Arabidopsis thaliana: one gene and its partners. The protein of the gene in region 4 interacts with the protein of the main gene of each other region in a pairwise test. Each region holds a gene or a part of one and is shown on either strand. Other genes may lie near its edges.

The links.
Region 1: the proteins of CNGC5 (region 4) and SK42 interact in a protein complementation assay, tested with the Arabidopsis thaliana proteins (one large-scale study listed by BioGRID).
Region 2: the proteins of CNGC5 (region 4) and AL2 interact in a protein complementation assay, tested with the Arabidopsis thaliana proteins (one large-scale study listed by BioGRID).
Region 3: the proteins of CNGC5 (region 4) and AT1G13195 interact in a protein complementation assay, tested with the Arabidopsis thaliana proteins (one large-scale study listed by BioGRID).

What each region holds. Positions count from the first base shown.
Region 1 is NC_003070.9:21,430,544-21,438,080, reverse strand, and holds SK42 (shaggy-like kinase 42), read left to right. Parts: upstream 1-1,977; 5' UTR 1,978-2,204; coding exon of another isoform or gene 2,205-2,244; exon of another isoform or gene 2,245-2,568; coding exon of another isoform or gene 2,569-2,654; exon of another isoform or gene 2,655-2,711; 5' UTR 2,712-2,828; intron 2,829-3,108; exon of another isoform or gene 3,109-3,112; 5' UTR 3,113-3,203; coding exon 3,204-3,344; intron 3,345-3,472; coding exon 3,473-3,565; intron 3,566-3,650; coding exon 3,651-3,710; intron 3,711-3,784; coding exon 3,785-4,057; intron 4,058-4,428; coding exon 4,429-4,503; intron 4,504-5,073; coding exon 5,074-5,130; intron 5,131-5,209; coding exon 5,210-5,350; intron 5,351-5,441; coding exon 5,442-5,492; intron 5,493-5,674; coding exon 5,675-5,770; intron 5,771-6,237; coding exon 6,238-6,321; intron 6,322-6,435; coding exon 6,436-6,538; intron 6,539-6,634; coding exon 6,635-6,719; coding exon of another isoform or gene 6,720-6,723; exon of another isoform or gene 6,724-6,870; coding exon 6,871-6,943; 3' UTR 6,944-7,030; downstream 7,031-7,537. Other genes in the region: PUP17 (purine permease 17), read left to right, coding at 1-479; AT1G57906 (F-box protein), read right to left, coding at 1,271-1,831, 2,205-2,244, 2,569-2,654; AT1G57860 (Translation protein SH3-like family protein), read left to right, coding at 7,254-7,490. UniProt on the Arabidopsis thaliana protein: May mediate extracellular signals to regulate transcription in differentiating cells.
Region 2 is NC_003074.8:3,507,457-3,512,249, reverse strand, and holds AL2 (alfin-like 2), read left to right. Parts: upstream 1-1,591; 5' UTR 1,592-1,831; coding exon 1,832-1,931; exon of another isoform or gene 1,932-2,032; coding exon 2,033-2,065; coding exon of another isoform or gene 2,066-2,148; coding exon 2,149-2,371; intron 2,372-3,399; coding exon 3,400-3,523; intron 3,524-3,602; coding exon 3,603-3,863; 3' UTR 3,864-4,254; downstream 4,255-4,793. Other genes in the region: AT3G11210 (SGNH hydrolase-type esterase superfamily protein), read left to right, coding at 230-370, 474-550, 642-791, 936-1,149.
Region 3 is NC_003070.9:4,501,071-4,505,416, forward strand, and holds AT1G13195 (RING/U-box superfamily protein), read right to left. Parts: upstream 2,607-4,346; 5' UTR 2,278-2,606; coding exon 2,180-2,277; exon of another isoform or gene 1,802-2,179; coding exon 1,639-1,801; intron 1,511-1,638; coding exon 1,444-1,510; intron 1,247-1,443; coding exon 1,009-1,246; intron 925-1,008; coding exon 708-924; 3' UTR 511-707; downstream 1-510. Other genes in the region: AT1G13190 (RNA-binding (RRM/RBD/RNP motifs) family protein), read left to right, coding at 1-284.
Region 4 is NC_003076.8:23,454,723-23,461,153, reverse strand, and holds CNGC5 (cyclic nucleotide gated channel 5), read right to left. Parts: upstream 4,590-6,431; 5' UTR 4,488-4,589; exon of another isoform or gene 4,257-4,487; intron 4,139-4,256; 5' UTR 4,039-4,138; coding exon 4,010-4,038; intron 3,831-4,009; coding exon 3,248-3,830; intron 3,087-3,247; coding exon 2,874-3,086; intron 2,483-2,873; coding exon 2,172-2,482; intron 2,032-2,171; coding exon 1,920-2,031; intron 1,782-1,919; coding exon 1,545-1,781; intron 1,384-1,544; coding exon 715-1,383; 3' UTR 533-714; downstream 1-532. Other genes in the region: AT5G57950 (26S proteasome regulatory subunit), read right to left, coding at 103-163, 249-476; APO2 (APO RNA-binding protein (DUF794)), read right to left, coding at 4,800-5,631, 5,717-6,069, 6,216-6,334. UniProt on the Arabidopsis thaliana protein: Probable cyclic nucleotide-gated ion channel.

The DNA of each region.
Region 1 (7,537 bases), on a different chromosome or scaffold from region 4:
AGAAACTCCAAGTGAAGACCAAGAGATATGGTAACGAGAAAGTGTTTAGAATGGTCTTAGAGATGCAAATATGTGTCGCTTTTGTCGCCTCGGTTGTTTGTCTCGTGGGCTTGTTTGCGAGTGACGAGTATAAGGAACTGAAAGGCGATAGCAAGAGGTTTAAGAAAGGGGAAACGTATTACGTTCTGAGTTTGGTCGGGTTGGCTTTGTCGTGGCAGGTTTGGGCGGTCGGGATGATAGGTTTGGTGCATTATGTTTCGGGTCTTTTTGGTGATGTTGTTCATATGTGTGCTTCACCATTTGTGGCTTTGTTTGTTGTCTTGGCATTTGATTTTATGGATGATGTGTTTAGTTGGCCTAGAATTGGTGCTTTGATAGGAACAGTTTTGGCGTTAGGATCTTACTTCTACACTCTGCACAAGAGAAACAAGAAGAAGATGGCGGAACTTAACCAAAGTGAGAACAATGTTGAAGTTTAGTTTCTCATGTCAAGTGTTTGTCAATCTGTTCTTGTTATTCTGATTCTTGTAAGTCAATGTCCAAAATATGTTGTATAGATATGGATCAAACTATGTAATTTATTTATTAGTTGGTTTAGTTTGATTTTTTTCTTTTCTCTGTTTTGCATTTATTTGTTACAATACTTTGCTAGAGGAGTGAATCCCTATATATTTCTCAAGTAGACTTGATTGTTAACATCTATGGGGCATCGAGACACCAATAAAGCCACATCCCACTTGATGATATAAGCTGCACCAAGCTCTTATGCCTTTAGGCTCGTACCTTTCCTATATAGAATGCAACGTAAACGTCTTCCCCAAGCAACTCAAATCCAGAGGCTGATGAGAAGAAGTCTTTTATATGCTTATTTGTTTTGTATATCTTCCATGGGTGATCATTCCTCTGCAAGTGGTTTATTACGTCGATGAAAGCCAGAAATATACCAATAGGCCATGCACATTTCGGTTACAGAAGTGGCACTCTTCATATTACTAGCTGGAGAAGAAAGGTTTTCGATAGAGCTTAACGGAAATGGTAAAGTATGGTATGAGATAGAGATAATGTTATCACATTTCTTGTCACTCCTCCAATATCCTTAATATAAAGAAAGTAGCTCTAGCCTAAACAAGATTCAGAGAAACCTAGGAACAAACATTTGGAAACAACTCTGCTCAGAACCAAACATCATCAAAGTACTACCATCGTCTAGCTTAAACACCTTAACCTCTACTTCCTTTTCATGGACAAAGTATATAGAATTCGGTACGCATCAATAGTACTCATGAGCCATAACCGAGAAACAAGTATCAGTCGCCATCACAACCGCACTATCTCTCAAGGACTTAACTTCAACCCACTTCCCTAATTCCTCATCAACCTTATAAACATTGAAACCAACCATTTTGGGACATTCTATTTCCACCTCTTGGTCCACATTGCATTTTTCATTCCCAAAATCGTCATGTATCACATTAGAAATCCGAGGAGCTACACCAACATAAACATTATCATCCAAGTCCAAGTAATCAGCTTTTCTTTTCAAGACATTCTCTTTAAAAAGACGATCAACAATATAAAGCTCTCCACAACATGCAACCAAGCTTAAGTCTCCACCACATTCATTAGTAAGTGAAGTTCCATACCTAACGATACTAATCCACCAAACAATGCCTTTCGTATCCAACACGTAAATTAGCTCTTTGAGAACAATAATATCAGAGAATTCACCAATCTGATCTTTGATTCTAGTCCAAATCTCTCCATTCCAAAACCTAATCTTCCCATCAAACCCTATTCCAAAAACTCGATCTCCTCCCGCAAGAACAACTTTCTTAAACCCAAAAGCAATGGACCATTTCGGTTTAACAATAGATGTGATTTGGTTTAGCTTATCAATTAATTTTTTTATTTTATTTTAAAATAAATATATATTTTAATTCTTTTATAAATCTCTGATTGGTTGGTTAATTAATTGTTTGTATTTCCCTTTTACGAATTTAAATAAAGTAGATGTTACAAAAGAAAATGAAAATCTCTGAAAAACTCTCCTGATTCAAAAGAGTAAGAAATCTACAAAAGAAAACCACAGAGAAAATCTCTACTGATCAGTTTCTCTCCATTGGTGATCGCTCGTCAGAAAAATTGAGCTCGATTTTGTATAAATTGAAGAAAAAGAAGAAGATCATCAAATGCGTGATTTTTACTTTTCCGTTCAAGGTAAATCGATCATCTTCGGCTTCAAGCCTGAAGATAGCGCTTCGAATTGGTTGAATTGTGTAATTTTGGAGGAAGTTAAGGTTCTTGCAGTAACAACTGCTTTACTGATTTTTCTGGTTTTTTTTGTAATTGTAGAAACTGAGTTTAAGGACAAGCTTTGTCCCTTTTAGTGGAATTTAGATCTGGTTTTGTCGTAATTTCTTCTGGGTTTCAATTCTAGTCTTCTGTAGTAGTATCAGTGTTGTGTTATCACCCACTATTTCAAAGTTTCAATGAAATTTTAATACCAAGTTGTTGACTTTTCTGTGTTTCTATCTGATCATAATTAACTTCGGAAGAAATTATTGTGACCTCAGAAAATTAGGTAGCTGATTTGATTCTTTTGTTTTCTCAATTATTCTCTTGTTAATTTCATTGTTCACATAGAAATGGTTCATATTTTCTGCTAATATGTTTCCTCTTTCATTTCAATTCACCATATTTCTTCTTTGTAGTGATTGATCAAGGGAACATAAGCAGCTAGAGACCACACCACTCAGTTATTTCTATCTCATAGTGCTTGTGGATGTTCAAGCTATAAGAATGTGCTCGGTGGTTCTATGAATATATAGGTATTATGCGTTATGTTTGGTTTGTAGAATATATTCTGAGAAGGTGATAGGATGGTCGATTTGCTAACTTTATGTCACTTCTGAAAGTGAGTTTGCATGTTTCTCTTTTCTCTTAAATCTGCTTTAAGTGTTAAGATATTTTGTTTTGAATATATTTGGAAAAACCAGTGACTTTGGTATTCTGTTAGCATGTTCCAACGATCTAAATTCTGTGGGTATATACTCTGGTAATTGCTTATACTGTTTTTGCTTTATGAAAACGATTTTAATATTCTACTAGGAAGATTGGTGTTTTGATGGGATGGGACACCAAATTGCTAAGGTTTATGGTGTTATCAATTACTAGTACGTGTTATCTTCCGAACAACCACCACCATGGAATCTCATCTGGGAAATGGAGTAGGCAGTTCGAGATCTGCCAAAAATACAAAGAACACTTCTAGTTCAGTTGATTGGTTGAGCAGAGATATGCTTGAGATGAAGATAAGGGACAAGACAGAGGCTGATGAGGAGAGAGTAAGTTTTGCATCTCCTTTCTTAGGTCTTTATTTCTTTGTGAACTTCTTTAGCTTATCTTCCTTCTCATGCGCCCCTCTATTTGATGAAGTAGTTTACTTGAATTTGATGTTTTTGCCATGTTGCAGGACAGTGAACCAGATATCATTGATGGAGTTGGTGCAGAACCTGGCCATGTGATCACAACTACACTCCCTGGACGAAATGGTCAATCAAGACAGGTTAGATGGTCATAGAAACTGTGTGTCTAGATTGTTAGTGAGACGTACTGATTCTTATACAACTGTTTTTAATTTTGATTGACAGACAGTCAGTTACATAGCAGAACACGTAGTCGGGACTGGTTCATTCGGAATGGTTTTCCAAGTGAGTAAGATTGTCTATCTTGTTGTTTTACCATTGGTTAAGATTCCCAAACATTTTATGTCTCCTTGTGGTAGGCTAAATGCAGAGAAACTGGGGAGGTTGTTGCCATCAAAAAAGTTCTACAAGACAAGCGTTACAAGAACAGAGAATTACAAATTATGCAGATGCTAGACCATCCGAATGTTGTTTGTTTAAAGCATAGCTTCTATTCAAGAACAGAAAATGAAGAGGTTTATCTAAATCTTGTCCTTGAGTTTGTTCCCGAGACTGTCAATCGTACTGCCAGAAGCTACAGTAGAATGAACCAGCTGATGCCATTGATATATGTCAAACTCTACACTTACCAGGTGATTATTTCCTGTTTCTGATCTTTTTTTGTTTCTCTTTATGTAAGCGTCATAAGTAATCACTCAAAATTTAAGCTATATTCAGTTTCTTGATATGTGTCAGCTGGTTTCTTGTGGTTCATTCCATAATGGATGTTGGAGATTTCCTCTTGTTTTGCTAGATAGATTGTAAACCAGAAGGCAAAGTTCCTATCATTTCTGATACTATTGTACTTTTCCGTTAGAAGTTGGAACTATTGAACATAATTGATTGTCTCTATATAAAAGAAGTAGTGCTCAAACGTTTGTTGAACACTTAAGTGTGAATCGGGCCTGATAATTTGTTGGACATTCTCCAATGATTTTTGAGGATTTTATGTTAATGGCTACAGATTTGCAGGGGGCTTGCTTACCTTCATAATTGCTGTGGTCTTTGTCACCGTGATATAAAGCCCCAAAACCTGCTAGTAAGTTCCAATTTTTTCTCACTGAAAAGAAGTTGATGATAGATTTCACTTTCCTGTAAGCTACTTTTGTTTGAATTTTTTTTATATAGCAAGGTCTTTGTCACCACACATAAGGATTTTAAAGGCATTTGTGTACATAAATATCAGACAGTGTTCTTTAATTCTACAAATTTGATCATTATATAGTAATGACATGATGATATTTCGTTATTACATGCCTGGTGGGATTAAGCAATGAGGTTATGTATGCATCTCGCTAATGTTTATTTCAACCTCAGAGTGGTACTGGGCTTCTGTTCTGTAGTTAATTTCACTTGCTATTTGTTCAAGTAGGATGTTAAAATCTAACTTTTCGGAAAATAGTTTTGGTTTTTAGCTGGTCTGTTCGTTGGTTTAAATATTTAGAATCCTATTTTCTTGTGATTTCACAAGGATTGAACTTGTTCCATACTGTTTCAGCTGTTAGGCTCACCATACCTGCAATTGACTAGAATTTGTCATAAACAAATGTTGCCTTGTTTTTATTAAACAATCTTTTATTTTTTTCTTTACACCTATTGTGATGTGCAGGTGAATCCACACACACATCAGCTGAAAATTTGTGATTTTGGGAGTGCAAAAGTGTTGGTAAAGTTTATCAGCTATAGCTCTTAGTGGTTTAGTTTTCCTAGTCCATGCTTAGATTATGACGTGTCATGGTCCACAGGTGAAAGGAGAACCCAATATTTCTTACATTTGTTCAAGATACTATCGTGCCCCAGAGCTCATTTTTGGAGCCACCGAGTACACAACTGCAATAGACATATGGTCCACAGGTTGTGTGATGGCTGAACTGCTGCTTGGACAGGTTGGAGCACTATATTTGCATTAGCTATATGCTTGTTATTCTATTTCTTCACCCTCTTACTCATTTTTGCTCTCGCGGACTTGTTTTACAGCCTCTGTTTCCTGGCGAAAGTGGAGTCGATCAACTTGTTGAAATCATAAAGGTAGTATTTTTGCTATCAATTCTTTTAGGGTTAGTTGTATTTACAAAGAAAATGACATCTTTAGAGCTGGCACTGACTAATAGTTTCTCACTGCTGATTATATTTTTTTTATAAAACTTTACCACCATTTTTGTAGTAGGACTCGTACATTCTCTCTTCATGGTTTTTTAATTGTCATGCAGGTTTTGGGTACACCAACAAGGGAGGAGATCAAATGCATGAATCCAAACTACACAGAATTTAAATTTCCTCAGATAAAACCTCATCCTTGGCACAAGGTATACCGCTAGTAGTATCAATTATCACCTAATAGGGTTCTCTTAATCGATATATGACCAAGCTTGTCTCGGTTTAGTGAGGTTGATTGAAGTATATGTGATCAATTAACTTCATATTTCATTCCTCTGGCATATAGAGCGATGTGACAGCTTTGCCTTTGTATATAAGATTCTTATACAAACAAATAAATTGAACCTTTGCCAAAAGGAATTACTCATGCACACACTCGTGGGGGTTGAAAACAGTTAGGCTTCATGATCTTGGCTTTTTTGCTGGTTTAAGTTTCTATCTAGATGAAGTTTTATTCAGCATTTTATACAGCTGACATTCCAGAACTCTGTTACTCGTTATTCTTATCTTTTGTTTTGCTCCGTGCTAAAATTTCTCTTAAGTGATCATTTCCTTGGTTTTACTTCTATATAGTCATGTTCTTACAGCACAAGAATCATGTGTTTGTTACTTTCAGGTATTCCAGAAACGTCTGCCACCTGAAGCAGTAGATCTTCTTTGTAGGTTCTTCCAGTATTCTCCTAATTTGAGATGTACAGCGGTAAATTATTCATAGCTTTTCTCTGACTTTGTTACATATTCTACTTCCATATTTTTTTTGGGATCAGCATCAGAAGCTAACCCATTATAAGTATGTCTTATGATTTTCTGATAGGTGGAAGCTTGTATCCACCCTTTCTTTGATGAGCTAAGAGACCCAAATGCTCGTCTGCCAAACGGCCGGCCACTTCCTCCGCTATTCAATTTTAAACCACAAGGTAAGGTTCTGTTATTTGCTTCTTCTTTTTTCCGTGTTAAATTCTTTATAAGGGAAGAAAATTAGTATGTGTTATTGATAAGCGTGTGTCCTACAGAACTCTCTGGTATCCCTCCTGAAACTGTGGACCGACTTGTCCCAGAACATGCCCGTAAGCAGAACCACTTCATGGCATTACACTCGTAAGTCTCTTCCGTGTTTTCTGTACGACCTATCGGGTGTTCTCTTCTTTTCTCTAAGCTCTCTAGATCCCAGTCTTTGGGAAAAACCAGTAGAGCTCTCTCTCTGTAAACAGAAATCACTGGAAAAAGAAGCAATGACTTTTGTATTAAGGTGCTTGCGCATCCCTTGTCGTGAAGTGAGGATGCGTAAAATACAACACTACTTTGTTAGATATATGATATAGAGGAACATACTTACATTTGCAAGACTCCTGCCACAACACAATTTTCCAAAAAATTTGTGAACCTTAAAATGAATTGACAGTTTAGTTTATTTGTCCATGTTTACGAACTTGATTTGAACCATATTACTCGAATTACACCAAACCAATTTATCTTCGAGTTAATTTCAAATAAGGCATTTGTTTTACAAAATAAGGCTTAAATATTGAAGGCCCAATAAGACCATGTACACAAAAAGCCTTTTAAACTAGTTTCACCTCTCTCTCCCATTTTTAGGGTTTCGTCAGAGACAGAAGTGAGAGAGGAGGAAAAATGCCGGCGGGACACGGAGTGAGGGCGAGAACAAGAGATCTGTTCGCGAGACCATTCAGGAAGAAGGGTTATATTCCACTCTCCACTTACCTCAGAACCTTCAAGGTCGGCGATTACGTCGATGTCAAGGTTAATGGAGCTATCCACAAGGGTATGCCTCATAAGTTCTACCATGGTCGTACTGGTCGCATCTGGAATGTCACTAAACGTGCCGTTGGTGTTGAAGTCAACAAACAGGTTTGATTACTCAAAACTTTTAATCTGTTTGAAAGAGTTTTTTGTTG
Region 2 (4,793 bases), on a different chromosome or scaffold from region 4:
ATAGTCTTTGATTTAGCATACAAGACTCTGCATCTGTTTCAAGGGAGATGTCTCTGTTTAAGCATAATCTGTTTCATCCGAGTTTTCTTGATATCTCAAGCTGTTTTCTCTTACCCATTATAAAAAAAATTTGGTAGAATGAGCTTAACTTTGTAGAAAACCATCATATTCAAAGCTTCTGTTTTCTTCCACTTTGTCGCCTAAAAATTGCAACTTGTTACGGATGCAGGATGCTGCAGTACAACCTTCTCTGGTCATTGTCTATTTTGGAGGAAACGACTCAATGGCGCCTCACTCGTCTGGACTAGGACCTCATGTACCACTTACTGAATATGTTGATAACATGAAGAAGATCGCTCTTCATCTTCAGGTTTATACTTCCTTTATAATTGTTAGATTTATTATTTATCTCCTGTCAGTCACGTTTAAAAGCCATTTCAAGTGCTAATTTCTTCCTCTATTTTCTGTTTCAGAGCCTTTCAGACTTCACCCGAATCATATTTCTTAGTTCTCCTCCAGTGGATGAGGCTAAAGTTCGCCAGAACCAAAGGTAACTTCCCTGAATTTCTTCACTATCTCTCTGTTTCTCCTTATTCTCTCCGGCCTTATTAATATAGATGTGCTTCTTTTTCTCTCACAAGCCCATACTTGAGCGAGGTAATCCGCACAAACGACCTCTGCAAGACTTATTCAGATGCTTGTGTAGAGCTGTGCCAAGAACTCGGCCTAGAAGTAGTTGATCTCTTCTCTACTTTTCAGAAAGCAGATGACTGGAAAACTGTTTGCTTCACGTAAGTATTTTTTGAGTTCTGAAGAAATATAGAGAGACCTTTGATATATATGACTTTCTCAGAGTTTCCAAATGCGATAACCGGGAATGGAGTATCGACGATGTTCATTGAAATGTTTTAACGGTATAGTCTGGTTTGTTACAGAGACGGGATTCATTTGTCAGCACAAGGAAGCAAAATAGTAGCGGGAGAGATACTAAGAGTGGTTAAAGAAGCGGAATGGCATCCATCACTTCACTGGAAATCAATGCCAACAGAATTCGCAGATGACTCTCCTTATGATCTTGTATCAGCAGATGGCAAACAGACAGTAAATTCTTCAGAATGGACTTATTTCTGGGAAGAACAATGGGACTAAACATTTCAACACACACAACAACAACAACAAGACCCTATCTTCACATAATTCACTGTCTTAATGTGATAAAGCTTTGCTTTAGATTGTTTACATTACAAGTGTCTCTGCTATAATCTGATTCAGTTTCGCTCGAAAAACGTTACCATTTTAAAGTTTATACTTATCTAAATCTTAAATCACAGAAACACACCAAGTTTGTGTTCAAGTAATTTCTTTTTTTCTTGTTTACATTTTACAGACATTAACAAATGTCTGAAACTCATCACATAACACTCCTCCAGACAGGGGTTTAGTGTTTTGAAGGTAAAATCACAAAGTAACTAAATTTGGGCCGATAACAAAAAAGTCGCTTAGGAGATTGGACTTATTTGGGCCTAAAACCTAACACTTAAGGGCCCAACTAAAATGCCATTTACCTAAAAAGCGACGCATCTTCGTCTACTACCAAACCTTTTCGCTGACGCAACCAAACTCCCAAAAATAAAAATAAAGTTTTTATTTTCTCTCTCTCTCTTATTTTTCTTCTCCTTCTTGTTCCGTCTGCTTCTCTCCATCTCCTTCCATATCTATTGTTCTCTCTCTCTTCATGCCCGAACGCATCGGGTCTCAAAAACCATTGATACAGACATCGATCCTTGTCAACTAGTACTGATCTATAAATCTTATAAAAATCTGTAGAGATATGGCCGCCGCAGCCGTTTCCTCTAACCCTCGCACCGTTGAAGAGATCTTCAAAGATTATTCCGCTCGTCGTGCCGCTCTTCTTCGTGCTCTCACTAAAGGTCTAAATCCTCTCTCTCTCTCTTTCTCTAAATTTCCCAGATTTCTTCGTAATGCCTTTGGATTCGTCCTTTAACTTGTTCGTTTTTGTGATTTTTTCCAGATGTTGATGATTTTTACTCTCAATGCGATCCGGGTATGAAAGATTTCGACTTTTAGATACCCTTTTATGTGTTTTATTGAGATTTGATTTCAATTTTTGGGTGTTTGTGGTTATAGAAAAGGAGAATTTGTGTTTGTACGGACACCCTAATGAGTCATGGGAAGTGAATCTACCAGCAGAGGAAGTGCCTCCGGAGCTACCTGAGCCTGCTCTTGGTATCAATTTCGCTAGAGATGGTATGCAGAGGAAAGATTGGCTTTCTCTTGTTGCTGTTCACAGTGATTGTTGGTTGCTCTCTGTTTCTTTCTACTTTGGAGCCCGTCTTAATCGCAATGAGAGGTATTTCTCTTTTTCCCAACATTTTGATTCTGCATTCTCATTGTTTTGTGTTTTCTTAAGCCATGTCTCCAACTTTTACTTGATTTCAATGGATTCTGTGTTGTTCTTACATGAAACCCCATAGTTGTTTTCCATCCTGGCTCTTCTCATGTGAAGTAAAAATTGAAACTTTGTGATGATGATGGAGTTCGTTTGGAATGAGATTGTCTTTGAATTTGCGTGAAATGAGTTTTGTTTTGTTTTGTTTTTTTCGCTATTCGTCATTCATATCTATGGAGTATTGTTTGTTGCATGACTTCATCTGTCTAAACTTTTTCTCAGCTCTTTTGGATATTGTAATGGCTAAACTTGAAACTTGATTATCCTCCCTAATTTTAAAAGCCTGGTATTTGCTATTCTATGAAATCTGAAAACGGATATTCTGTGGTCGCATGTGCTGAATTTCACCATTTCATTGTTACATCTGAACACCCATCTTAGTAACTATGGAATCCAAAGAACTTTACTGACAAAGGTTTTGTGAAAGTTAAATTTTGACAAAAAAAATTGCTATTTGATTAGTACTAATGAGATCATTTTACTGTCTGTCTGTCATATATTCTAGAAAACAATGTTATTTTGGTTATTATCTGTTTCATTGTTCTTCAAGAGAGAAGTAGTTGTTGGCATTTAGATAGGTTTCAATTAAAGGTGCAAGAAACTGGACTTTGTTTTCTCAACCAGTAGTTTCACTATACCATTAACAAGTCTCTAAAGTGATCCTCTACCATTTTAGTCCTCTATCTTATTTACACTAGACTAGTAAAAAGCATTTCGTAAGATGCATTTCCAAGGATAGAGAATTTAACCCGACAGAGCTGCAAACAAATAATGCTAGATAAAACATCACAATTGTGTGTTGTACTGATATGAAGATTCTGGTTCGTTTTTCCTCACTTTCGCTTGCTAATCTAGTTCTTAGCTTATCTTAGCTGCCTTTTTCAATGTGTTGTCCACTCATGGAGTTATATTATTCTTTTGATTTGCAGGAAGCGGTTATTCAGTCTGATCAACGATCTCCCAACTCTCTTCGATGTAGTGACTGGTAGGAAAGCCATGAAAGACAACAAGCCAAGCTCGGACTCAGGAAGCAAATCCAGAAATGGCACTAAGGTACACAAAATAAGGAGCCTCCTTTCTTCTTTTTTGTTATCTGGTTTCCCTCTTTGAAATCAAAAATCGTAATTAGCAGAGATCAATAGACGGGCAGACAAAGAGCTCAACACCGAAACTAATGGAAGAGAGCTATGAGGAGGAGGAAGAAGAAGACGAGCATGGAGACACTCTCTGTGGAAGCTGTGGAGGTCATTACACAAATGAGGAGTTCTGGATTTGCTGTGATGTTTGTGAACGTTGGTACCATGGAAAATGCGTCAAGATAACTCCGGCTAAAGCAGAGAGCATCAAGCAGTATAAATGCCCGCCTTGCTGTGCAAAGAAAGGAAGACAGTGATGCTGATCAATTGATGATGATGATGATGATGATCTCTCAGAGAGACTCTGGTTCTCATGTTTTAATCAATATGTTAATCAACTTTTTTTCTTTTCTTCTCTTTTTTTCTTTAACCTTCTTAATTTTAAAGCATACAAAACTCTCTCTTTAGATCTCAAGAAAGGGATTTCAAGAAGTTGAGGGAGAGAGTAGCAAACTGTTTGAATAATATTATTATTATTCATATTAAAAAAAAAAAAACTGGGTTGTGTCATCAATTGTGTTGTGTCATGGGGTTTGTATATGTTAGACTTAGTCAAATCTTTAAGCTTCGAACCGAATTTTGAACAAATATGTTTTTAATCTTCTGTTAGGTCTTTTATCTGTCTTAAGATATTGTTTTTCATAATTTTAAAGAATATTATTATCCAATATTATGTGATATGTCAAAGTGATAGTCTTCTCATTTGGCCGGAATTGTAAAGAGCCAACATGTTTTCCAAGTTCTAAAGGGCAAGTAAATGTGATCGCAAGCCTTAGAATTGGTAAGTTTTATAATTAACCATCAAGATTGTCACAAATCATCTCTAAATCCAAATCTAAATTTTTCAATCAAATTTGCGACAATAATCAAATATTTTTATTTTTTAAAAAAAAAAATACTATTTATTTAGCATCATACTCAATAAGAAATTCATGAAATGTTAATAGTTGACAATCGACTGAATTTAACTAAATTTTAAACTCATCGACTGAATATTTATTCGACGATAATGATTTGTAGCCTAGTGTTTTGGTTTGTGCTAATTAATGCATGTTGATGATAATAATAATAACAATGATCAATATTCAAAATCAATACAAATCAATTTATAAATGTGATCATGCATGTATGTAATATCAAGAAGGGCGATCCCAAGTAAAGCCAGCATGAAGATCACAAATTCACAA
Region 3 (4,346 bases), on a different chromosome or scaffold from region 4:
ATGAAGATGAAACCCAAGAGAAAGAAGAAAAGCCATCACGAGATAAAGAACGGGCTACCACAGAACGTGACTGGTCTGAGAACAGTGGTGACAGAAGACACAAGAGTCACCGTGAAGAGAAAGATAGTCACCGTGAGTATAAGCAGCAGAGAGACCGTGATTCTGATGAGTTTGATAGAGGACAATCTAGCTTGAAATCTCGAAGCAGATCAAGAATGTCCGAAGATGATCATAGATCCAGGTCAAGAGATGCAGACTATGGAAAGAGGAGACGAGGTGACTGAGAAAGAACCTCCCATGTTCTTCGTCTCTTTAGATGCCATTTTAAGTTACTCTCTACTATATCTATCTCTTTATATCATCAAAATATTGGATACAATGTTTCTCTATACTTTATTTACTGATAGTCAGTCTTTGGAGACTAGCATATATATATGTAAACTATGTTTTGTTTTATTGATGGTTCTATTTGTTATTGTCAATCATTACAGCTTCTAGAATGTCGTTTGGTTAAGATGAAATGAGATCTTTATTCTTTGCTGCATTCAAGCTTTTTTTTTTTCTCGCAATTTGACAATTATTAAGTATGTAAAAACTGAGAGCTTTGGCATTTGCATCATATCATCCAAAAGCCTTAACACAGTTTTACATTCTATACAATACATTTACCATCTAAAAATCTGTACAAAGTTTTGTTTGTCCAGATTCTATAGCAGATTTGAGTACTCATAGTAAACCACAAAGAGAGCTTCTGGGTAATCCTTGGGAAGGCTATTGATGTAGAGATAGAATCTGAACAAATCTTCCCTTGAAGCCGTCCTTGTATCCACCACATCGTTATCACCCGCAAGCACCCACAAGTCCTCTGAGTTCACTCTCTTCATGCTGCCTCGACAAAACGGGCATGACTGAGACTTCAAGTTCCTGCAGATTTGAGAATCAACGAGATTCAGTAAATGCATCAGGTCAAAAAGGTCTAAAAACTAAAAAGTGTGTGTGTGTATATACCAATTGCGATAGCATTTGATGCACATAGAATGGCAACAATTAGGCAACACCATTTTGGTGCAAGTTTCTAAACAGATACCGCATTCTTCTTCACGCTCTAAACCGGCATTGCTGAATCTACTACTACGAGCCTCTTTTGTTATCTTCTTACTGAGTCTTTTAAGGTCAAACCCGATGTCTGTGGTTTCCAACTCATCTAAGTTGCTGTGTAATAGCTGCAGTGATGGTAGTATCACACCTATAAAACACAAAACATTAAGGACAAAGATGGAGACACAAACAGACTCATATTAATCATTCAACATCATTCCCATTGTAAATACCCGCAATGTCTCAATCGAAAACCTTTTAAAGGAATGACCATGTCCACAAAAAGCTTTAGCCAAAAACATGAATATTATAACATTAGTGATCGATTGTTACGGGTTTGCTTACCATAGAACTCACTAATCGTTGCTTTCCTTCCGTGCGTGGTAAGCTTAGGTTGTCCATCAGACTGGACCTATTCAAGCAAATATGACAACAAATTGAGAAATTTCAGCCACCAAAGAAAAAAAGCTTATAGTCAAGACATCGATATCCCCATTAAAAGATGGCATTTTGAGATCAAATAAGACTTAAAAAACTAACCTTGTAGACAAGAACATGAAAGAGGTTTAAGTAGCGAGGAATAAGACATGAGGAAGAAAGATCAATCCACCGGAGCAAGAAGAGTAATAATGAAGCAAAGTTACTATGAACCAGTTTCATCTGAAGCCGCACATTGTTCTTCCCCATTGGAATTGCTTCTGCCCTGAAAAGATATAAACCTCAAAGTTCTCATACACAATTCATCGAACACAACATGTGCAATAACAAAGTTTAGGGACCTTGAGCCAAAACAAAAACAAAAAAGCTACTAAATTTGCTTAAATTAGAATATCAAAACCAACAACAACTTTCCAGAATGTTCTATTTGTGAAAGCTTTCTAAAACTAAACTAAAAATTTATCGGAGTTTCCTAAAATAACCCAATTTTGATGAGAAGAGATTACACACAGAGAAGAGAATGACCTAAAATTATCATCTGGGTTTTCAATTTTTTCACTAACTATACTCTTATAGCTCAACTAATCAAACAATTTTAAACTAAAGTCTTAAACTTTAGAAGAAACCCAGAAAAAGGACTTACAAAGAATTAGCGTGTTGAACATCAGCTTCCAAAACCTTCAAAGATTCATAGTACGAAGAAGATGAAGAAGACGAAGATATCGCCAACTGATTATACATATCTCTCTCTCTAATTGTGAGATTACAACAAAGAGGAATCGATTGAAGAAAATTCCCAGAAATATAAGAAGAACGAAAGAGAATAAGATGCTAAAAGTGAAGGAGGGATTGGTCTGATTGATCGGAAAAAGGCAAGAACCTAAAAGACAAAACAAAGAAGCTATAAACACCGTAAGAACACAAGTCTCACTTCTTCTTCTCTCTCTCTCTCTCTTTGCTTTTTGCCTTTTTGATTCTTTGTTTCCGGTTGCTAGCTTTTTATTTATATATTAATCATGTTTGAAGAAAAATTCGTCTTCTTCTTAATGACAAAATTAATATGTTTTTTTCCTTGTTTAATAAGCTAATTAATTATAAACTTTGAGTTGAGATGGCTTTTTGTATGTGAATGAATATGAACTTTTTAATTATTTCAAAGTGAATGAATATAGGTTTAATAGTCGCTTTCATTCAAATTGTAACAGCTTTTGGAATAAATACCTAAAGTGAATATAGACAAAACAAAAACCCAAAGTGGAAGAACGCGTGTACTTTGCCTCACTAATAAAACATGTTTTCCGTAATTCAAGAATAAACCCAATATTATTCTATGGTCTAAAAGAAGACATGCGCACAAAAAATATAACTTAAGTTCAAAATTATTTGAATCGAAACTAAATTTAGTTTGTATAAAAGCCTACTTTGATCTTTTAATAATTTTATAACGAAATTAAGTATAAAGTTTGGTTATCTTTTGTTAACAAGTTCCTGACTTTAGGACTCATATAAAATTTTCTTGGTCAATAACAAATACTTTGTCAATACTAAACTGTTTTTCGAAATAACAAAGAGGTATCATCGGTGAAACAAACAAACTTAGGTTACCAAACTCAAATGCACAAAAAACTAATCTAAGTAAAAAAAAAAAGCATGTTGTAGTACCTATATATTCAGTTAAATTTTTAAATTATCCAATATTTTTAAATTTTATTATTACTGCTAAAAAATATTTTAATTCGATAAAACATTCCCTATACGAACAAATGGAAAAAGATTTAAAGTAAAATCAAATAGAGATGTTTTTTCGGGTAGCCAAAGAAAGCCAACTAACATATAACAAGTGGACACCACATCAACGAAACTACTCCCAACAAGGTCTATCCAACAAGATATATCAACACCGGATTGTCTTTATAGAGGCTTCAAAGAGACATGTATTAGTCATTTAATCTTCATATGGGTCTTACGAGTCCAACTCCTGGACACAACGTACATTCGCTAGCAAAGCATCTCAAACGTGCATAGAATTCTCTACGGGACAAACCAAACACCAACGAGCATTGAGAGACGCGTCGACCATGCAAAAGCACATCTCCAGACTCCAGACATACATGACACTCCACTCCACATAAGCTACTTGGACGGAATGACAACCATCGATGTCACGTCCCATCCACATAAACAACACTAAATAGACTACTATTTTACAGGTAGCGCAACCCAGTCAAACCACCATAAACCAAATCTACTAACTTCAAATTTATAAATAAAATAATAAATTCTACTAACTTGGATTATGCATGTGTCATCTTCAGTCATATCCTAGGAACGAAGCCGATAGAGAGTATGAAATCTATCAAAACCAAAAAGCCACAAGATGAAAAAGTGTTCAAAGATCGAACTTGAGAACCAAATTTGTCTGTACGACAGTGCTAAGAGACCTCTTATTGTGGAGATCTAGTCATTTTCCAAGTATGGATGCAAGCAAATAAAAAGTCTTCAAAAGGAGTAGTAGTAGTAGTAGGGTTTTTTATAGATAAGATATCAAACTTTGAAAATAAGTAACTTTCTGTAAGCACACGGATGTCTGTAAAAGATTTCGAGAGACTTTGTTAGGTGATCATATTTTACGAGACCGCGGAAACGGCGATGTGAGAGCAGGATCTTCTAATTCTTGCAAACCGCCACAGGTGTGGATGGCTCAACCATATATAGTTGTGTTTGAGTTTCCTTTTTTTCTCAAGATGATTGGTTGTATTAATTGAGATAAGTTAATCTTAATTCTATCCATGTAAAACAAGAAAATTTGT
Region 4 (6,431 bases):
TAATCAGTATGATTCTGCTATGTTTCCTAAGTTTAAACTAACCTTGGAGTTGTAGTCTCACCCTAACTATGGACTAATTCAGCACAAGAAAAGAGAAATCACCAGCAAGACGACGGCGCTCAGTTCTCACCATGGGAATGTCAATATCTTCCCGAGGAAATCCCTGCCATAAGCAAACGAATCAAAGGAGAAAATTAAGCAGAATTTTCGGTTAAGATTAGAGAAGAGTGAGGACGCAGATACAGTACCTCCGAGTCGATGAGATTGCCGGAGAGACCAGGACCACCGGGATTGCAGAGACGTTCGACAATAGAGTTCATCTCCGTCTCCATGGCTGTTCTCTTGTCCATTAGAGCCATCGTCTCCGCTTTCAGATTCGCGCCAACCATCTTCTCTTCTCTTCTCCAAGTCCGATCGATTCTTAATTCTTTCACCGAAATCAATCGCAACTTCTCTCTACCTTGGGACCGGAGCATGTCACCGTGAATATATTGTGGGCTTCATTAAAAGGCCCAATAGACCCATTCTTTAACCGGCATATGATCCTAACCGTACATTTATTAAATCCAACGGCTATAATCTCTTTGTTTCTACACTTCATATATTAATTTTACAGACAGCACAAGCAGCTTTAAAGCCAAGCAATATTTGTTTATCTCAACCGTAATGATTCCCATAAATTATAAACAATAATGTCTACAAGCTGCTCAATCATCAGTCAGCAGTGAAATCAGGCTCAGGAGGCTTCTGCAGCTTCACCAAATCCCTAATCTTTGTGTTCCGGTTCCTGTGAATGGTGCGAAGCGCATTAGCCGCAAACTTAGTGGCAAGAAATGCAGCCCCAATGGAGTATGAAGGTCCAGCGGTTGAGCTGGACACAGCCGCGGCCTCGGCTTCTGCCTCTTCCATTTTCTTCCTCTTGCAGTATCTACGCCAGGCAGCCTGGATGAAACAAGCAGCCCAAGTCCTCCATTGGTGAGAGTAAAACCTGAATGTGTGCTGCACTTGCCTGCTATGTAAGCGCCGGAACTGGCTTGCTACAAACTTCAGCTCCTCTGAGGTCAGCGCAAACGCCTCTACTTCTGTCAGAGCTTTCACGGTCCTCGTGGAAGACGGGAGATTTACACCTGATTTTGGATCCAATGCCCATGTCAGAAGCTCTTCCCCGCAGAATTCTCCTTCTTTCAGGAGACTGCGGTTGAAGAAACCGCTCCTGCCTCCATCTGTTGTCACACTCTCGAGGCGACCACGTATTATGAATAGCATCTCGTCTACAGGATCTCCTTCCCGCACTAAGTAGGTACTCTCTGTGAACAAGCATGGTTTCAGCCGCATACAGATCGCATCCAGCAGCTTGTCGTCCATGCTCTTAAACAATGGAACCTAATATTATGGTAAAAACGTATCATGAACCAAGCTAGCTTGTCGATGGTCAAGAGCTCGTTTTAGTTATGAGCCGACTGTTATTCAATGGGTCCTAGATGTTCAAAAGGGTGTGTGATCTATGTGAGAAGCTTGAATAAGGAACAGCGGGGAGAACTTACCCTTCGCACTAAAGCCAGACAGAGATGCCGCTTGATGTCTCTCCGGAGATCCTTGGGAAGATTCTGAACGAGATACTCTTCATCTACACCACGTGTCTCCAACCATTTATACTGGTCATAGCGCCTCACACGCTCCCTAAGATCTTGTGGTAACATTCTGTGATGCATCCATTGTTCTGAATCACGCCTCTTTACTCTCATTTCTTCAAGCCGGATGGTAAGAGATTGGAGATATGTCTGTCCCAAGATTGCAAAATGTTGTTAGATAGTCATTATGCAGAGGAAACAAATTATGCATGATGCTTCCATTGAAAGAGCTTACAAGAAATTTCTAATGATCACGAAAGTAGCTAAGGTTGCACCATAATTACTCACCTGCATGTTTCCAATGAGAAGAGCAAAGAGGATCAACCCAGAAATGGCGAGAGATATGGAAAATATAATCTCCATTGGGTATGTACTGGTTTCAAGCCCTTGTCCAAGTGTACTGTGGTGCAACAATGAGAAGTACTATATGAATATCTGAAACTCATAGACGCATAACTTTGATAAAGGAGCCGAGTTTAGTGAGAATTGGTAAGATCAAAGCAATAGTCTTTCGACTGAATAGTGATAGAACATGGTTACCTCAAGTTCTGAAGGCCCCACCACAAACAATAACAATATTTTACGATGAAGTTTTGGGACGAGACAATTCCAGACGATAAAGCCTGTGTATAAATCCCAAAGTCAAATGGAGGATTATTATCATCGAGGTCAGCTCGGCACTTGGACTTAAGAACAGATTCCTTGGCTCTGTTCCAAACAGCATAGCCGTCCATGTTTTGATTGCCACAGTACAAGAAATCTGTGCTGCAATTCCCTGCATCTATACAGGCCTCCTGCCAGCAGGCGTCGTTACGTTCTAAGGCTAAAAGGTACCAAAAAGCTCCAACTATCTGCAAGATACGAAACAGTGGCTCAATCAAAATAGCACTTACCAAGTCAATACTATTATTGAAGAGTAAATAAGCTATACAATCAGAGTTGCTCGTCATAAGAAACTTGACATTTGTGATCCCATGAGGCATGAACATCAACTAAGATAAAACGAAAGGTTGCATAGAACATCAAAGGTAAGCATAGACGGCTTAACCAGAAAGCTCAATAAGCTCCTTTACATGTCTTAGGAAACTAAACATTTGAACATAAGTTCATAACAGTGAAACGGATATGCAAATATTTCCTTGTTTTGCACTTTTGGTGCCACAGTCACATAACTCATGGTGAATGGGCAAGCATTGAATAGTACAAGCAACGTCTTAAAATGAAAAAGGTATATAAACTCACATGACTTGCAAGCATATATAAAAGCAGATAATAAGCGGCACCAGCCCAAGCCGTTTCAGCAAAGACACCTGCTGTCCTTTTCAATTCTGACGTCAAGGGTAAGACACGTAGGAATCGCGGTATATACTGGACCAAAACAATGAAAAGCAAGGCCTGCTTTGTAGCCAATACATCCGACCCATTTGAACTTTGCAAGAACCTCCAAACTACAATCTGCACATACACAAAATGAGTACTGTAAATCTAGAACTAGAAAGCGCTTGACAGAGATGTCTGATCACCAACTACTGGCTACTGCACCCTTTCAACAAATTAAGCAATGATGTTTTCCAACACACAATTTACTGAAATGATCAAAACTTATATTAACCAACCTGAGGGAGAGGAAGTACTGAGAGAAAGTCAATAATAAACCAACGTTGTAGATATCTCTTTGCTATCTGTGCAGGATCAATCACGAGTTCACCTCGCCCAAAGACCCGTGATGAAGGTGCAATATAAGCAGTCCTAAGCTGGAGAGCCATGTGAGCGAGATAAAACACATCGATAAAAGTCCGCAATGTACTTGCTGTGATAGCCAGTTTTCTGTCAATACCCAGGCACTTGGACTCAGCATTAATCACAGGAAGATAGAAGAAAAAAGGGTCCACAAACACTGAAAGAATACATGACGCAACGAATAATTTATTGCAATACAAAAGGAATTTATCCTGAGGATCAAATATCTTCTTTTCAGATACTTTAAGGTCTTCTGGGAACACTGCTCGATAAACACCGAAACCAAGTGAACGTCCGATCGACTTAAGCCCTTTGGAACCCTTCTGGATACCTTTCTTGAAGGATCTAGAAGTTTCATTGCTTGCATGAATAGGATGAAGTTGTCCACTGAAATTGGAGGCGTAGTTCTGTTGGAAGGCTACAGATGATGATGGTAACCTAGAGTCCAAATCATCCACCCTATAAAAGGTATGAACAACACCACTTTCAGATTACTATGCACCAACAAGCTATAGTTCAGTACAATCACACTATACTTTCATAAGGAAACAAATCAGAAACAACCATTGCCAAATCAATACGTTTCTCACATTCAAACTTCAGATCTTTGTATTAAAACAAAAGGATGCAGCACTAACCTCACAAAGTTTTCTCTTTTCCCTGCCATGATTGCTTACAAGGAATTCAGAACTCAAGAGCCTTCCAAGATCACTTGCTCAAATCGATGAAGAAAGAGCACAGCTTTAAGACTCTAATCATTAAGCAAGCTGCATCATCCCAAAATAAGACTAAAATACTTAACCTTTGAAAGACCCAAGTAAAAATAAGTCATAACCATATGAAGTTGTCAAGTTGTGCTAAAATGAAGATTAGACTAACTCTGACCAGTATGAAGCGAAGCAACATCATTACATCAACTCAAATGGATAAAAAAGGAAAAAATTTGATGAATGATGGACACCGACACATAGTAACAAATTTAAAGAGGTAGAGCTAGAGAACCAATCTTAAATTTCTCGCATAGAAAAAAGGAGAATTGAATCTTAGAACAAAATTAGAAATAGAGCAGACGTGAACTTGCTGAAGCAAGAGAAAGAGACAAAGACAAAGGCTTACATGGCTACACGGTTTCAAGGGTCCCGTTGATGAGGATAACCAGAGGAACAACTACGAACATGAAAAAGATGAAAGTGGGTATAAAGCTACCAGACAAGTGGTATCGACTTGACACAGACAAAAAAAAGAAAATGGCAACGAGAAAAGATGAAAACGAAGCAAATGACATTTTTACCCTTGATAATAGGATTAGCGTGGATTGTTTTTTTTGTCCTTCAAAAGTCAAAAAGACCTGGGCTGTGATATTATTATACAACACAAGGTGGAATGGAGGATTTTGTACAAGAAGAAGTTTACAAGGTCTTCTACATATCAAACAACCATCTCAGCTTCTTTCACACTCGAAGGAATTCCAACCTCCAGTCTCATTGTAGCTCTATAATGCTCAGGTACAACAGCGCCAGCCTGAGCACATATCTCCACAACAGCAGGTGCTTGCCCGTAGAAGCTTCGTAGCTCTCGCTGCATCGGTGGCCCATTCACATCAGGAACATGCCAAACATATCTTGGCGGTATCAAGTCGTCAAGTACTGCAGATTGCCAACCATGCTGGCCATTCCGCTGTTGGTGCTTGAATGCACCACAGTTCTGGGCCTTGTGTCCCGTTGGACCTACGTGAACCTCTGGACAGTACCCACAGACCCTAACCCTGTACATCCTCATCAGCTTTTTGGCTCCTGCTCTCATTTCTTCCCAGGCCTGTAATGTTTCTTCGGCTAAGGAGACTGTTTCTTCTTCGCTAGATGGGGGAGTGATCTCTGAGACAGGTAACTCAGTTAACAATGGCACTGGAGGAGGCTGAGGCTCTGGATCAGGCAATTCAGTTTCATCTGCATCAACAAACTCGCTTTTGCCAATGCGGATAATCGGTTTTCTTCTCCTTTTTGCTGGAAATTCGGGTATTTCAACGCCGCCCTGAATGCAGAGCTCAACTACAGCAGGAACTCGGGGAATCGAGAATCTTTCATCATGACGGATACGCTTGCCAAGGCGGTCAAAAAGGTGATAGGCTTCAAGAGGAACAATAACGTCCTCAATAACCGAGTTAGTCCATTCATGAAGACCTTTCCTTTGGGAAGTATTGGGACCTTTACACGACTTAAATGGATGCCCATAAGGTCCAACATGAATCTCATTGCACCACCTAAGAGACCAATCATACAACATCAAAAAAAGGCCATACTCAAAACAGACCAAAAATGAAACAAGAAGAAGAAGAGAATTTTTACCCACAAGCATTAACACGAACAACTTTCATAAGCCGGTGGAGATTGTTGATCAATCTGATTCTTGCATTGTATACTTTATAAGCAAGAGGCACAAGGCTCTTCACAACCATACCATTTTTAGGCGGAGGTAGAGGTCTCTTAGGTTTGTCTTTGTTGTTCTTGACTCTCTCCCTCGCAGCTCGTCTCAGGTCCACAATAGGGACTGGGAAAGGTTTCTTCTCTCGCCTTGTGTACTGCTTAGGTAAGTCTTCATTCTGAGGACGATCATTTCTCACAACTAATGGCAGAGATCGACGCTCTTTACTAAGCACAACTCTTGAATTCAACTGAAGGCTAAACTCAATGCTACTTCCCTGCACAACATATCCGCACATAACAGTAAACATTGACTCTCTACTTCAAAGGGAAGCAACGAAGTGTGGTCTAATTCTAAGAACCAAAACAACAACGAAGCAGAGTCTGGAGAATTGGATGATACTGACTAGTAAAGGAATCTGACCTGAAGAGAAGGAGAGAACCCAAATCTATAAAACGTGTTGGGATTAAGAAATTGCCTCCTGGTTACGCTATGAATAGCAAAAGGTACACTTTTTGGTGAAAACCCAGAAACTGTACTAGCTGGATAAAACAACGGAAACCAAAATCAATCACAGTCTCACAATAAATGGATAAAATTGAGCATTGAGGACGGATTCGACACACAGTGAGGAAGAAA